3 linked regions of the Caenorhabditis elegans genome follow. The protein of the gene in region 3 interacts with the protein of the main gene of each other region in a pairwise test. Each region holds a gene or a part of one and is shown on either strand. Other genes may lie near its edges.

Region 1 (6,364 bases), 420 kb from region 3:
GAGAAGGTGGTGGAGATGGTGATCTATGTCCTTGTTGAGCTGGGGCGTGATGTCCAGGAGCTCGGACATTGTTGTTTTCGCGCTCACGGGTTTCAGAAAATGGAGATGGAGGAGTTGGTGCAGCAGAATACGAACGTTGGCGTTCAGAAAAATGAACTGGAGCTGGTGCAACTGTTGGAACGGGAGCTTGTTGATTGTATCCGTAACTTTCCGAATTTCCACCAGACACTACATTTGAGCCAGGGGCTGACCCGTACATTTGATATGGTTGGCCTACAGTTTGAATGTTGGAATAACCAGTATGAGTTGGAAGATACTGTGGATATTGATAGTAGTTTCTAGATTCTGGTAGAACTTGGTAGGATTGAGTGAGGACGGATGGTTTCTGTTGCAGCTGTGGTTGATTGTAGGGACGATTGCGTGAAGTTTGTTGCTCGGAAACATGAATTGGAGCAGAAGTGACAGTTGATTGGTGGGATTGGTGGGAACTCAAACCATCGTATTCGTTGGCAATTGTTTCACCGATAAGAATAATGGAAAGCAGAAGAGCAAGACTACCTTGACGACCCATTTTCTGAAAATGACACACATTTCTTTTCTATATTCCTTGTTTTGATTAATGCGGAACTGATGTTGGCATGTAGAAATAATCATGGTTGTTTTCGTCTTTTTTCTATGAAAATAAATAAGGAAAAGGAGAAGAAGAAGAATGAAAAGTTTCGAGTGAAAATATTAAAAAAAAAAAAAGATAATTTGCAGAGAACAATGGGGAGATTAAGAAATTAAAGAATTTTGAAAGGGAGTGTCGTTGATTTGGATACGATCACTCAAATAATGTTCTCAAATACACTTAAATTTGGTTTTGATTTTTATAGATTCATAAGTCTATCCAAAATAATCGTGACGAGACCCACCGAGAATCTGAGCATCTGTCTTTCAAGCAATATCTCAAGATTTCACGATTCGCCGATAAAGGATCAAACATACCATTTAATTTCAAACTCTGAAATTTGAAATCATTAATAGTAAGTATGTCTGAATTATTCTAAAACTTAATGATGGGTCCTATGTACACTTTTTTTCGAAAATAATCGAAAAGCAGAATGTTGATAAATTTTAATTTAATTTAATTTCAATGGGGAATGTTCAAAATATGAAATGCTACGCTTGGCGATCCGTTTGTAGTATTTCCCTGACAATTTTTTATAATCCGAAAAGTTGCTGGAAATATGAAAATTTGCCAGTACATTTTAAACTACATTCATTGCAAGGTTGCAGATTTTAAGAGGAAGATATGTACCAAATTACCAAGTTGGTTTATTTTGCAAAAGTGAATGAAATAAGAGAACATGATGATTTTCTAAGTTTCCAAATCCATCTTTTATACTAGGAAGCTTCACCTTCACAACTTAAAAACCTGTACTAGTTTTCCTTTACTTCTCATATTTAATCCAATAAGTCTCTTCTTTCATTGATTCCTATTTCCAAATGTTTTTTCACCAATAAGCTTCACCTTTCTCTTTGTTATTTTGTAGATCTTTCGTTTCAGTTGGTATATAATTTTGTTCACAAAGATACGTTTATGTAACCTTCTTTGTCAACAGAAAAGGTATATTTCGTTAATCCTTTTGACTTTGATTCTTGAGATTGGAGAAATAAAGAAGAACGAAAGTTTTAAGGGTGGAACAGTGTTTTTCGCTGACTTTTAGAAGAATTGAAAGGCTTCATTTGATTGGATAGAGTTTTCGATTTCTTTGATATTTTCAAAGTTTTTGGATTTTATATGGCTTCTAAACTTTGATGCACGTCATAGTTTCAGAGACTTTGATAATGTTGAGATCCTTGCTGAGAATATGATTCAGTGTTTATTCAGTCTTTTATATGACTAGAATAATTTAAATTTAGATATTGTTATATATTGTATCTTTAGTAGTTTTCTGACCAAAATGATATAATTAAAAACATTAGCAACTTCTCAAAACAACTGGCAATTTATTCCAACTATTTAAAGCCGCCATGAGTTTTCAACTGAATTAAATGCTACAAACAATAACATGAGAATCAAGGTTACTATGAAATAATAATATAGTACATAAGTTCTGATTTCAATAAAAAATAACTATTCTGAACAAAGACCAAAGCTTATCACGATGATTATATATTTACCGTAGTCCACCAGTCACCACAATATTTTTCACATTGTAACCCGTAATTTGCACTGCTCGCTTAGCTTTCTTACATGGTCATACTTCTAAAATCACGCAACAAGATATTTATTCTCTCGCTTTCTTCAAGCATTTTCATTCGAAAGCTCAGATAAGCTGTTCAACACTCTGAAATCAGTGTTGTGTCGATTTATGTCTAAAACAGTTTGAAGAGCAGGAAGAAAATTCTGTGGCGATAAGGTGCACTGATCCGAATTCTTTTTATCCAGCATTTCTTTTACTCAAATGACGTTTCTAATCACTTCTTATCAGAAAAATAAATCCTCTTCCACTGAAGAAAAAACGAGCTGTGCCATTTTCTAACTCTTCAGATCCTCTTATTATGCTAATCTAATCCAATATTCACTTCAACATCACTTGTAAATCTTCAGTTTTTGTTCGATATTCTCACAATTGAACCACAAGTCAAGAAACATTAAAACTATTTTTGTTCTTATCCTTTTTGATCTGAAATCGATATTTATATATGTTGTTCAATAATCATTTTACAGTGGGTGTAGGCATGCCGAGCAACCACCGGCTTTCGCTTTGGATGACCGATGATGTTCAGTTTTTGAGGAGTGATACTACCAAAAAGGTGAGTTCTTGAAATTTGAAAATTTATGCGTTTAGCAGGCATAAATATCAAACTTGAATTCTCACAGCAACAATAAAATAATAGTGAACAAACTACTAGAATCTAACCAAGAAATAGGTGCACCTACATACTTGGATATGTTCTATGACCAGGGATTTCTGTTTCAAAGATATTTCCAAAAGGCGCATTTTCTTGGACACTTTTTATATTAGTTAAGAGCATCTTGAATTTAGATATGAAGAGTTCAAAATTCCACTTAAGTTACACTTCAATGAGCTAATAAAAATAAGTAGCTTTCAAAGCATAATTATCGTTTAATTCTGAAATTGTTGCACTCCTTCATCAAGTTTCAGTTGTTATGATGATATTGTTATCTTTGTAACGTTTCTGGATTTCTAATGTTAGTAGTAAAAAGGCACATTTTTGAACTTTAATTCTTAATTTCAAGGTTATTTGGAAGCACTTTATCAGTGTTTTTTCTTGATAAATACTGGGAATTCAGATTTTTTTACCCGGAAGTGTTGACTGAAAATAATTATTTATTTAATTGTGAAGTGACGAATAACATGCTCGTATGCAAAAAATATTGTTCATATGCCTATTGATTGTGAAAACTTTCTGATTTTAAACCATTGCTCTAATTCATTTTATTCCAACCTCTCTTCCTTGTTTCCTTCTTCCACATCATTTTTCTCATCATCATTGTCATGATGGTTCTTAAACCGAAATGAATCAATTCAAGTAATTTTAATTCTCTTTTTCTCTCTCTTTCAAGAGTGTCATGAAATGAAGAAGATGCTTTTTCGTTCGATTCGAGTGTGTACCCTCTAATCCAACGCCTTCACACATTCTCAACCAATGCCTCCCACTCTTTTTCATTTATTTTGATTTCAAGATTCTAAAACCTGAAATCTCTATTCCAAAACATAACTCTGTTGCTTCATAATGGATCAATTCACGTTGGGTCCCTTGATTGCCCAGCAACGTCGCCGTGGAAAACGGAAAAGCTTAACTGTTACTGTGAGTTTCTAGAAAAAAACATGCTCAAACATAATTAAATTTTTTTTCCGTCATGGCTTCTTTAATAGAGTTTTATATGGCTTCCAACTTTAAGTTTAGCGACTAAAATAGCTACAAGAAACCGGATTTTTGTTTTCAAATTTTAGATCCTTATACTCTATATAACCAGACTGTGCACCTAGATCATTGACGACTGAAACTTTCTATTCAGATGTTCTTATTTGTAGAAAAGTTAAGCAAAATATGTGTTCCCAAATAGAGTTGCATCATGATCTCCAGTGTCTCTTTTCCCCTCGCCTTCCAGTCGTGGTAACACGCTGTTGTGTAGTCCAATTTTTTAACTGAAAATGCACGGCAAAAACTAAATTTGGAATGTCTTAACACCAATACGACTAGACCTCGACTGGGTAAAATGCCTAGTCATGCCCTATTAATCTCAGAAAATTGACGCAAACTTCTGAAAATGTTATCCTAGTATTTAGCAGAAACACATAGCAGCGCCATCAGCTGAAAACTATTAGTTGGTTCATGTTTAACATTTTATAAGTATATGCGAAATTAGATGCAATAAAAGGTTCATCCCTCTCGAGAACCCAAGAAGGAAAGGGCACAATCGCCTCGTTATCTTTTTGTATATTATAGATTTCCAAGGGCGTCATCAAATTTTGATATCTGAAAAATATAAAATGAAAAGTGTACATTTTTCATTCTAACAATGAAATAGGCCAGGAAGAAGCACCTGCTTTTGTTGATGTTAGTACAAATGATTTCGATGGAAAATGTGTTTTGAATGAAAATTTAATAATATGGAGGATATGATGTGAATACAGTAGGTCAAAACAGGATTCAGGCGAGTTGAAAATCAGATATTTTAAATTTGCAACTTTTGTGGCTATTACAACGTTGAATAAGTGGAGTGAATAACTTGTAAGTTTTACCTATAAAAATAAATACTTACATAGTCCGTCTACGATGTAAAATAAATTTAAAAACTATTTATTCTGTAATTATCTACATACATTAATTTTTCTATTAGTATTGCAACCGTACAGCTTTTATTTTAAAGTTTATATCTCGGTTGTTTTGAATTCTATCAACAAAAAAATTTCAGCTCAGAATACAGAATACGGGTTGAAGTTTTTCTATAGTTTTCTATTGGACAAATTTTGATAAAGCCGAAAAAATCAAATTACCAGTAATCAAAATTTAAAACGGTTTCTTCATGCACTCTAAATTATATTTTCCGTTTGTTAGCAAAATTTCGTCTAAAAAAAAACAAAACGTTGGATTTAGTACAGTATTTTCTATTGAATTCCGCAAGGTTTATTATTAAAACTTTAATTTGAATCACATGTCACACTGTTCCAAAGTCCAACACCCACTCCTACGTGAACCTTCAACCCGAAAAATAACCTGAAAAAGATATTTTGAGCACTTTGCATACAAGAAGCCTAGAAACCGGATACATTTCAAATACTTGAACCAGTCATGTTCTACGTACCTCTTGCATTTATGTATGTCATCCTAGATCTATCCAGGTCACCACTACCTCACTCCCTCTTCTTTCATCCCCGATTAGTTTCATTCCAATATTGAGCAGCTACCTTTTCCAGAATTTCTCTGTTTTCTGCCAAAATCGCTTTCCGTAGATATTTACGTCATAAGGAATGGTGAGTCCGATCCGTCATTTTGACACCAAAATTGGCGCTTTTCTTTTCTCCGTTTCCCATGTTTTCACTCAATCGGAAATGAATAAAAGCACAATTGAATAGTTGTCTGGGTGATGATGGATATTTATGAAATTGAATGACGACGTAGTTAAATAGAAAATTTTGAGTGAGATTTTGAATTCTAAGAATGACCTACAATTTTTCACATTTAAAATTTATATTCTTATTTAGAATTGTTCCAAAAATAACTCGTTCTGATCCATATCAGGTGCAAACTTCCTAAAGGTTACATAAAGAGAAATGCTAATTTATTTATTTGATTTTGCACTTTACCTCAGTATTACCTAAATTTCGTTTGATTACAGTCAGAAAACCAAGACGTCTAAGCTTCTTAGGTATTTAAATTTCAAACGTCAAAGGTGGTTTCGAAAGGAAGGATATATCTTGACGTAGGTCATTGATTGCATATGTTTACCCACGGCAGCCATTATCATATTTCAAAATCTGCAAATCTATTTTAGGATTTATATCAAAATGGTAGTTATGACGATAGTACTGACCATAGATAGAACAACAGATTTCTTGAATTTTTCACTTGTCAATGGTGAGGCAAAGAGTAGGGATGTTCTCTAAAAAATGAAGCAACATTGAGATATACTTTCCAGAAGAATTTAAAAAGAATATATAATAAGAAAAAAGAACAATCAAACCATTTTCTGTAAAAATACTAAAGCATATATTGGTTCAGAACATTTTCAATATCTGAAGTGGATTTCCTGATTAGTACTGAAAGTGAATATTTTTGCAATGAAAATTTCGGTTGAAAAAAACTGCGGATGTTTCCAGAATAAATCAGAGAGTTACGTATATGA
Region 2 (6,375 bases), 6.4 Mb from region 3:
CACACGATCTTTTTCTGAGTGGGTCTCGACACGATCTCAGCTATAGTGATCACAACAAGTTCCAAATTTCACAAAATTGCTGGTCTTACTTTACGAGCATACTTCACGGGCAAATTTGAGCCAAATAGAAAATTTCTGATTCCCAAAAACAATTTAATATGCCCTTATTATGTAGATGTTTATAAATGGGCATTTCTGTCGAGGGTTTCGCCACGAGAACAGCGAGTATAACTGTATTATGCAATAGTGGCTCATAAATCGACACGAGCTACAGTAACTCCTTGCCCGCGTGGTGAGACCTTGCGCGTAAGATATGGCGAAAATTATCATTTACAGACGTCTACGTAATACATGCTGAACCAAAATATTGTTCGATATTTGACACTAGAGATAAATAACCGTTTTTAACTATAACAAACAGGCCTAAACTTTGATTTTTTGGTAGAAATATATATGCTTTATACATGCACCTCGTAATAAAATGCTATTTCCTGAACTTTTCAAACTCTTTAACTCCTTCTTCTGTTCATCATAAATCTAAACTGAAAAGTTTAAGACACTAATCCTGGAGCCGAATACGAAAAAGTGCTCGTGGAAGCTTTCAAGCTGGATACCATCATGAATTTGGCCGGTTCTACTATTCAGGCATATCGCCAGTAAGTTATATTTTTAATTTGAAATGAGAATTGGAATTTAGAGTGTTGAATCATTTTCTTATCACATGCATTACTCATCAAAAAATGTTTGAAAGTTATTTCCGCTAGGGCTGTAACAAAAAATGTACAGTACATTCTAAGCGGATACCCTAATTTTCAAAAAATTTCAATTTGCATCTACCGTAAAATAAAAATAAAAATCGAAATCTACTTTCCTAGTCCTCTAATTCAAAATTGCAAGATCTTATGACAAGTTTTCAGAAATAGTGAATATATGAATCAAAACTCTTTGCCCAAATTCTAATAATTCATGAGAAGTTTATGTTAATATGTTTTATTTTTTGGTTTTTATATTTTCTGAAATCCCACCTTTCTCTTGAGAAACAAAGCAATTTCGATACTTTTTTGCATATGAAGCTAAACAAATCCTAGATGTATTCTTCATAAAAACTCAGGTGTCCAAACATTGCAATTAACTATGAAAGGATGCATCTTTCCAATTGTTTCGCAATTCTTTCTCGCCTCCGTCTCTTGCTCTCTCATTTCCTCCATGTTGGACGGACGATCAATAGTTTCTATGTTGTCTCTAATATTTCTATGATCTCTCATCAGTGGCTGCGCACGTCTCGCTGTCTATTCGCCGACACGACGAGAGCGGGCTTTCGGTTAATACAACCAAACACTCTTTCCGAACAACGTTATGTTTTACTTGTCCACACTTTATTAGCATCTTTATGTTCAGAACCATTTCTTATGAGCTTTTGCAGGAGAGAAATTATTAGAAAGTTAAAATTTGGTTTCATTTCTGCTTATATTGCGAAATTTGTACCTATAGTGTTGCACATATTTAGCTTATCTTTGACATATTCCAAAAAGTTTCTCAGTTTTCTAAAAGTTTTTCCAAAATTGTTCTAGTGCAACTCAACCTAGCAAAATCAAAGAAATATATTAGTTCTACCACGAAATGCTATTGATTTTCAAAAATTATAGCGCATAGTGCAGCCTTGATTTTTTCAAATTAAAAATTTCAAAAACCGAGTAAATAAAAATTACAAATTTTTAAAAGAAAATATCAATCCACGATGATTTTTATTTTCTCTAAAACGTGTTGAACATTTGGAACATTTTTGCTTTATTTCAACTTATTTCAAAGCAACGTTTCGGTGTAAAATAAGTTTATCGTTATTTTGTGAAAATGTGGAATGTCATTTTAAAGGCACATGCGTATTTTCTCAGGGGGTCTCGCCACGATCTCCTGTATTTCAATAGCAAATGGCAGGGCTGTTATTTAAGACGCCCTCCTCAATCTTTGAGAGCTCATTTTGGCGTTTTTTTTAACTTCAGCCATAAAATTGAAACTGGATAATATTTACCTAAATAATAGATTTTCCAAATTCTTGCACCAAATAGATCTATGGTATAAAACTGTCAGGCTGATTTTCAAATTTTTGCATTTTTTAGAATTCCAAAGTGAGCAGTATTCATGGAAAAATATTTTTTGAATCTAGTTCTACGTTTTTGAGAGAATGCAAGATTTTAATTAATTTTTGTTGTGCCATACTTTGGCATTATTTACATTTAAAAGAAAAAAAGGGTTAATTTTTTCTGATAAATCTGAAATTAAAAAAAAAGACTATCGCAAAACTTATTGAACGACCTAATAGCTATGATCTACATAGATTCAACTGTTTTTACTCACTGAAAAAATTTTCTCGTTAGCTACCAACACTTCTCGAACTTCTTCCAATTACATTTAATAGATTTAAAATTTCAGGCGAAAAATCGAGTCGCTGGCGAAAATGTCAAACATGTCGCAGGACGACGTGACGACGGGCCTACGTACCGTTCAGCAGGGACTTGAAGCTCTTCGTGAGGAACACTCGACAATTTCGAATACTTTGGAGACTAGTGTCAAAGGTATGGCTTTTTTTACGACGAGTTGAACATTTACTAAAATTCAATCATTTAGGTGTGAAAGAAGATGAAGCTCCATTGCCGAAGCAGAAGCTTTCACAAATTAACGATAATTTGGATAAGTTGGTGTGCGGAGTTGATGAGACATCGTTGATGCTGATGGTATTCCAACTCACTCAAGGAATGGATGCTCAACATCAGAAATACCAAGCTCAACGGAGACGCTTGTGCCAGGAGAATGCGTGGCTTCGTGATGAGTTGAGTTCAACTCAAATCAAACTTCAACAGTCGGAGCAAATGGTTGCTCAATTGGAAGAGGAGAACAAGCATCTTAAGTATATGGCATCAATCAAACAATTTGATGATGGAACTGTAAGTTGAATTTTTCGAGGAGCATTCTTAACTTATTTTGTTTGTTTTCAGCAAAGTGATACTAAGACATCTGTCGATGTTGGACCACAACCAGTCACAAACGAAACTCTTCAAGAACTTGGTTTTGGACCAGAAGACGAAGAAGATATGAATGCTAGTCAATTCAACCAACCAACACCAGCCAACCAAATGGCGGCTTCTGCTAATGTTGGATACGAAATTCCAGCTCGTCTTCGCACACTTCACAACTTGGTCATTCAATACGCCTCCCAAGGTCGTTATGAAGTTGCAGTTCCATTGTGCAAGCAAGCTTTGGAAGATTTGGAGAAAACGAGTGGTCACGATCATCCAGATGTTGCCACAATGCTCAATATTTTGGCACTTGTCTACAGAGATCAGAACAAGTACAAAGAGGCTGCAAATCTTCTGAATGAGGCTCTCAGTATTCGTGAGAAATGTCTTGGAGAAAGTCATCCAGCTGTTGCCGCCACTCTCAACAATCTCGCAGTTTTGTTCGGAAAACGTGGAAAGTTCAAGGATGCTGAACCGCTTTGCAAGCGTGCTCTTGAAATTCGCGAGAAAGTTCTTGGAGATGATCATCCAGATGTGGCCAAGCAACTCAATAATCTTGCTCTTCTTTGCCAAAATCAAGGAAAGTATGAAGAAGTCGAGAAGTATTACAAGAGAGCTCTCGAAATCTACGAGAGCAAACTTGGACCTGATGACCCGAATGTGGCAAAGACCAAGAACAATTTGTCATCTGCTTACTTGAAACAAGGAAAATATAAGGAGGCTGAGGAGTTGTACAAGCAAATTCTCACCAGAGCTCATGAAAGAGAGTTCGGACAGATCAGTGGAGAGAATAAACCAATTTGGCAAATCGCTGAAGAACGAGAGGAGAACAAGCACAAGGGAGAAGGTGCAACTGCCAACGAACAAGCTGGATGGGCAAAAGCCGCCAAAGTTGATAGGTATTATGATTTTTATTAGAAAAAAATAAATTAAACAAAACTGATTCCAGTCCAACCGTCACAACAACTCTCAAGAACCTTGGAGCCCTTTACCGGCGACAAGGAAAATATGAAGCCGCCGAAACATTGGAAGATGTCGCCTTGAGAGCAAAGAAACAGGTATGTAATGATGTTTTTTCTGCATTCATGGCTTCTCTATCTAGCACGCTTTACTGCATTTAAAATACAAAAGTTCAGAAAAAAAATTTAGAAGTTAGATATTAATGTTGTAAAATGTTGTATGCGTCCCCGATACCCCAGTGACAAGAATTTGCTTCATATTTACATGTATTTTTGGAACTTAAAACATTGACAACAGTTGTTTCAAACCAGGGGAGTGCGTCAAATTTGCCGAATTTGCCGGTTGCCGAACTTGCCGGACACGGTAAATTTCGAAAATTGCCGCACACATCAAAAATTCGACAATAAAATTTTGACCAAAACTATGTTTCAAACTAACCCGAAAATTAGATGCTGCCTGAACAATGTCTTGCCAACTTTTGAACCAAAATTGGCAAATACTGAAATATTGCACAAATCTGAAGCTCATTCAAACGAATTGTTTTTTAAAATTAAAGTTTAAATTTAATACGAAGCATATTCTTGTCCTCCCCAAGCCCCCATCAATAACAATTCCAGTAACAAAAAAAAACACATAAAACGCTTATTTTTGTATTTTAGTGATAGTGATGTGCTTTAGAATTTGGTCACTCGTTTCCTCTTTTCAGTATTGTTTCCTCTTTCAGCATGAGCCATTACGAAGTGGAGCGATGGGCGGAATCGATGAAATGAGCCAGTCGATGATGGCTTCTACAATCGGTGGATCCAGAAACTCGATGACAACGAGCACATCTCAAACTGGATTGAAGAATAAACTAATGAATGCACTCGGATTCAACTCTTAAGAGCATCTCTTTGCAGCACTGACTGAAAACCGCTTATCGTTCTTGTATTAATAAGTGCTCGTTGATTCAAGTTCCAAATTCTGAAATTTTGTCTCAGATCTACGAAAACTTGCTTTTTTCTTCTTTCGTTGTGTTGTGCATGATTCTTTTTTTTTTGATTGATTTTTCTTTCTGCCCCATCCCCTCATTCACAAAATCTTGTTCATAAATAATAGGGTTGAATAATTGAATGTTTCCTTGTCCGCCCCCACCAACTTTTTGGTAAAGCTTTATATTGTCTGCTTCGAATTTTCTTTTCAAGCAAAAAAAAAAACATAATTATAACAAGCTGAAAAATCGTGTTGTTGTAAATAAAGGGTTTATTTTTGAATTCTGCTTGTTACAAGAAAAAGAAAACTTCAATTTCAGATGTCCGAATCTCGAAGAATGGAACGATCCGTTATGTATTGATTGTTGCTCGACATTGTACTCCGTCATCAAGCTTTACACTTCTTCGCAAAATTCCAAAAGTTTACAAGTTCTCATTTATTTATATGTATCAAGTTCTAATTAAACACTGCTTTTCTATTTTTGTTAGCTATTCGCATAATAACATTTTTTTTTAATTATAAAAATGTGAACCCGATTAAATTGGAAAAACGTTTCGAGAAAAATTATAATTGCAAAGATTCATGATATTTATTCAATAAGACTTGAAAAACATTTACCCTGATATTCAAAAAATTAACAAAAAACAACGGTCAAGTTGGTGATTATGGGAAGGGGTTTGTATTCTATGAAGAACACGGAGAGATTAACATGAGCGGTACCAAACCCTGGTACCAGGGCTTCCTGCTGGCAGGAAATTGTCAAATTGATAACCCATAATCTCCGGACCGAAGTGAAAACTTTAGTAGTCAACGTTGCTTATATACCCAACGATTAGCAAGCGACCGACGTTTCGAAAGAAATGACAACCAAACATTGGGCGGAATTTCGTAATGTTTGCAATTTGAGGTGTAGTGGTGTATAGCAGTGGAAAAATGATTAGAAAACTGTAGTAGGCACACAAACTCCAAACAAGTCCTGACGTTGCTGGAGTTGACAATTTTCTGATAACACTTTTAAAAAACCGGGATAAAAGCGGTTAACGTAGAGGAAAGGGGGAGCAAGGCTAATGTGGAAAACGGTATATGCTTAGTTAGGGGTAGCCGACAAATTGTGGAGTATGTACTACATCGACAAAAATAAATATCACAAAGCTTAATTCAAGAGATTATTTCGCTGAAGTATTCAAAGCGTCGAAAAATATTTTTTATTATGGTGACATGAATTTATGATTTAATTTTTTAAAAATATTTTTTCTCCTTTTAAAAATATGAAACCCACTCCAATAATATTTAGGTTTTTCAAATTTTTAAAGAAATAAATTGTAACTTTTATTTAAGAAATTGCGAGGCGCGTTTAAATCTGATACTCAAATGCGTAAAAGAAAATTGTAATTGAAACAAAAAACGTGTAGAAAAACTGTGATGTTAG
Region 3 (4,809 bases):
ACACCTTTTTTTTTGCATTTTACAAGCACCTGTCGTCTCGAAACCAGGTACAGTATTTTGGGACCACAACTTGGCAAAACAGACATGTTTTTGAAAAATAATATTAAGACAGTTCAGACAAATTTTTGAAATATTTTATATTCAGTTTTCGCATCCACAATTTCGGAAGTTGACCAAAAAGTGGATTTTCTACGAATTTTTGATATTTTAATAATTTTCCGTTTTTCTAGAGTATTGTACGGTTACAAACATGAACCATTGTTCCAAATTCTCAAAAGTCCCGAACTTTTCGTAGCGCCAATTTACCAAAGAAAACTTTCAAAAATCTGAACAAATGCCAACTTCACATAGTATTCCTTTTAAAATGTGAATTTTCAATTTAAGATTCGTCTCACCGATCTTCTTGCTCGATCAATGGGAAAACCAAGAGAGAGAATTGCTGTCGAGGTATATTAGTAATCTTTAGTAATTATTAACTTTAAAGTTTCAGATAGCCGCCGGTGCTCGTCTAGTTCATGGGGCCACTCATGATCCTGTGACCGTAATTTCGGTAAGTGACTTAGGAACACTTTCCAAAAGTAACACCTTGGTAAACCAAAACCTTTAAAACTACATTTAAGTTCCTTGTTACACTTAGAAAGGAAATTAAAACTTTATGAAACCATCCTTTTTCTGGCAGAAGTTCAAAATTCTCGCAATAATAAATTCTTTAGATCAAATCAATCGGAGCAGTGTCTGCTGAAGACAATATTCGCAATACGGCAGCCATCACTGAGTTTTGTGGAAAGGAATTGGGTCTTCCAAAAGATAAGGTAAGTGTAGTTTATGTCAAACATTTAAGTCACAAATATTTCGTTATGTTTTATTAATCAAACAATGGATTATTGATATTTCAAAATTTCAGGTTGTTATCACATTCCACGACTTACCACCAGCTACGGTAGGGTTCAACGGTACAACTGTCGCCGAAGCAAATAAGAAATAATTTTTGATGTCAGTTGTTCATAATGTGACTAGATTAATTTTGATTTCATGCACTTTTGTAATTGCTCTTCGTAAATTTTAATAAAGATATATATATTTCAGAAGATTTAAGAACAAATTTAAATTATGAACATTTTTATTTGGCAGATGGTAATTACAAAAATTGTGTACATAATGCATTTAGACCTTGGCCTTTCCGGCGACAACTGCTGATTCAATTCCGCATTGATCATCTCCACGGTAGATCTTGAAGAAACCGCTCTCTCCCCAGTTAACTCCCCATGAGTTGGCAACAAGCCAGTATGGAGATCCGCTCTCAGTTCCCCATCCGATGATCTTAATGGCGTGTCCTCCGAGGTACTTTCCGGCGGTGTGCTTGTAAACTCCGCTCTTGTATTTGTAGAAGTCTTCGTAAACAGAGAATGCAGCCTCAACTGGTCCATTAGCGTAGATTTCAGCTTGGATGGATGCAGCATTCTTTGGAACAGCGTAGGCAGAGACTCCTGAAATAATATAATTATTCCACAATTCTATGTAATTTTTACAAACCGAAGTGCTTGTCCTTGGCGTAGGCAGTTGAATATCCAGATTGGCAGCTCATTGAGCAAGATGGAGTCTTGGATTCTGGGCAGTTTCCAGATGTGCATGGGGCAATTGGGTATGGTTTGCATCCAGCTCCGTGGTAGTCTCCACCAGTAACAACTCCCTTTGAGTCCCACCATCTGAGAGCTTGAATTGGGTATCCTCCTTCACATCCATTTCCGCAGGAAGATCCGCAGCAGGAGAGAAGATCATCTGGAGAGATGATTGGTTGTTGGGCTCCCTTGGTCTCAATGCAGGTACGGTCAGAGATCATCTCAGCTGCTCCGAAAGCCCAGCAGGATCCACAGGTGGCTTGGTCACGGATAAGCTTGATGGACTTGCACTCGGACCATTGGGTACGAGAATCGAAGGTGGCTGGGACAGAGGCGAGAACAACTTCTTGTTCGGTGGCACGGATTTCATCGGAGTGGGCAGCAGCGTACTTTCCATCCATAAGCTTGAATTTCATCTCCTCCTCGGTAATCTCAACATGCTCAGTCTTGAACAAAGATTGAGCTGAGTTGACATAATCAACAAGAGCCTGACCGGTGAGGGTCTCAACAGCCGATTGATGATTGATTGGGACAAAGGCAAGCGTGACTGCGCAGAGCGCGGTAAGGATAAGGAACTTCTGAAATGTCAAGATGAATGCCAAATTAAAAATCGAAAGTAATTTTTATTTGAAATTTCCTAACTAGAAATCAAAGACTTACCATATTTGTTGAAAGAAGTTGAGCGATAAGCTGCCTTCTTTACCGCACGTCTCCCTTATATACCATTTTACAATGTCTTATCAATCTTCCGATTCTGTGGTTTTCTCTAGTTCTTGACGTCGAAAAGCTTCGTACCAGTGCTCAGTGCTCACGTGCTGCCCTTCCTTTTCTTCTTATCAGTATTTGATCGGTAATTCGGAACTGATTTAGGAGAGCATCTGAACCGGAATTCATCTGTGATACCAATTCATTAAAAGGAATTCAGTGAAATTTTCTAGTTTCTGCAAACCGAACTTGGGAACAAAAAACGCGACTTCCGATCTATAATCTGTCAAAAAGTTTCCCGGCAACACGAAACACAGTCAACAGAATTATGGCTGGATTACGGTAGGTTTCTGATAATAAACTTCATTTCAGTGTAAATGTCGGCAGTGCTCACAATTTCTTCGTTTACTTAGGAATAATTATTTCTTCACATGACCTTTCCTTTTAGTAAAACACACTTTTTATCGTAGGCATTATAAGATCAAAAGTGTATTACTCAATGCACGGCGAGAATATCAAATGTTTGAAACAGAAAAATTGGTTACATGTTTAAATTAATAAAATATATTTAAATGTTCCCTGATTTTCGAAAACACATATTTTCCCACCAGGATTATGAGCTTTCGTCACAACTTTTGAAACAAAAAATTAATTATCCAAATGAAAAGGAAGTTGAAAAAAGTCACGTACATTCATCCCGTTTCCCCACTTTTTCATTGACTCCATGTCTTTTCATGATGAGATCATTTTGCAATTGATACATTTTCTATCTATTTCAGTAAAACAAAAAGTAGATATTTGAACGATAAGTTCAAGAATAGTTATTCAATGTAATGAGAATTGCAACTCTACAAAAATTTCCACAGGATAACTCGTCAAAAATAATAACTTTTTTGGACGTTAAAATCACATTGTTTTTTCTATACATATATTATGTCTAGACCGAGGACCTATTGAATTTTTACGTCCAAAATTAAACGCTCGTTGAAAGATTTGATGCTGAAAATCATTAAAAAATATTTCAAAAGTTTTTAGAATATTCAAACTTGATATGTCTACTGAGTTTTTTAAAAAACTATTTCAAATTTCTTCCAATGGTGCTAAAATCATCTTTAAAATTTTAAGTCAAGTGAGTGGAAAATACTTACTTTTGACCTATCATAGTTTTGGAAGTCTGCCAAAAATGTTTTACAAGTTTTATATTTTGTTTGCAATTTGTATTCAAATAGGCTTAGCATATGAGGCACGTTTATCAATGAGTCCAAATCTTTCAAAAATTGGTATTTACCAAATTTACGACGAAAATTGTGAAAACTCTTGAAAGAATGTATTTATTTTTTTCATTATTTTTAACCTAGGTTGAAGATATTTTGACAACACCCCAACTGGAGCTACTCCTACTCCTGCTGCTCCTGCTACTGTTTTAAAATAAGTATTGTAGGTTAAACTTTCAGAAATTTCACAAGGCGGAACAAAATTCGAAAACAAATCTTTTCCACAACCGATTTCCTGCTTCTAATCTTAGCAACTTGACATCTCCCTTCCCAACATTTTCTCTCTTGCAATTTGCTTTTCATTCATTTTTTGTTCTGCTCCGTCCCTTCAAAACTCTCGACAACCCACAATGGCAACCCCACGCGGAGCATTGTTCTGAACTATTCGAGCTGAATCGACGACTTTTTTGGGTCGACCACCAACTCATTTACAAGAAAATAATAAATGACGAGGTTTTTATATACATTCAATGGGTTTATAAAGTGAATCCATCTGAACATAAAGTCAATGAAAAACCAATTATCAGCTACTGGAACCATAATTATAAACTTGGTGAGGTTGTGTAAAGTATTCAATCAACTATTTAATTTTTTGCAAGTGTATAATAGTTTTGGTGAGTGGTTGAACTTTTGAGGATAATTGAGGGGTTGGGTGACGTGAAGCAATATCACAGTTTAAACGGGAAGGTTAGAAAAAAGGAGAAAAATGAAATCAACTGAACACCTCAAATATCATCTACTATAACCTTAAAAAGTGTCTCAAAGTTTATTAAAACTATGAAATCATGAAGACAATTATTCAATGTTGTGGTATATAGACAATCGGAAGTAAACTTGTGTGACTAAATAAAAAATAATATTTAACGTTCCAAGAAACTCTGAATTTTTGGGATCAAAACCTCGTATACTATGTCACAGAATCGGAGGCCCATTTGCAAGCCCGGGGAAACCAGTTGATGTGAGAATATTCAAGACGACTTTTACAAATCGCAGTTAATCAATCAAAAAAGCCTAGAATTTAGTTGTCCCTGCCGTTCCGACTACTTTTCTCTCAACTCTTCAGACACGGAAAGCTATAATTTATTTGGACCAACTATTTTGACTTCCTATCCTGTCAGAAAAAAAACAAAGGATACAAATATATATTCATTTTTGTAGCTCCAAAATTGTTACTCATGAGGATTCATAAAAATTCAGACTAACTACTTCAA

The links.
Region 1: the proteins of cpr-1 (region 3) and twk-14 interact in a two-hybrid assay, tested with the Caenorhabditis elegans proteins (one large-scale study listed by BioGRID).
Region 2: the proteins of cpr-1 (region 3) and klc-2 interact in a two-hybrid assay, tested with the Caenorhabditis elegans proteins (one large-scale study listed by BioGRID).

What each region holds. Positions count from the first base shown.
Region 1 is NC_003283.11:12,392,057-12,398,420, reverse strand, and holds the start of twk-14 (Potassium channel domain-containing protein), read left to right. Parts: upstream 1-2,727; coding exon 2,728-2,802; intron 2,803-3,676; exon of another isoform or gene 3,677-3,747; coding exon of another isoform or gene 3,748-3,822; intron 3,823-6,364. Other genes in the region: K01D12.5 (Prion-like-(Q/N-rich)-domain-bearing protein), read right to left, coding at 1-571.
Region 2 is NC_003283.11:5,575,585-5,581,959, reverse strand, and holds klc-2 (Kinesin light chain), read left to right. Parts: upstream 1-2,455; coding exon 2,456-2,573; intron 2,574-2,625; coding exon 2,626-2,942; intron 2,943-2,993; coding exon 2,994-3,913; intron 3,914-3,963; coding exon 3,964-4,072; intron 4,073-4,698; coding exon 4,699-4,857; 3' UTR 4,858-5,223; downstream 5,224-6,375. UniProt on the Caenorhabditis elegans protein: Kinesin is a microtubule-associated force-producing protein that may play a role in organelle transport. The light chain may function in coupling of cargo to the heavy chain or in the modulation of its ATPase activity.
Region 3 is NC_003283.11:11,973,053-11,977,861, reverse strand, and holds cpr-1 (Gut-specific cysteine proteinase), read right to left. Parts: upstream 2,312-4,809; 5' UTR 2,283-2,311; coding exon 2,280-2,282; intron 2,198-2,279; coding exon 1,534-2,197; intron 1,488-1,533; coding exon 1,165-1,487; 3' UTR 1,106-1,164; downstream 1-1,105. Other genes in the region: MIF-like protein mif-2, read left to right, coding at 385-447, 491-550, 714-812, 905-985. UniProt on the Caenorhabditis elegans protein: Thiol protease. Has a role as a digestive enzyme.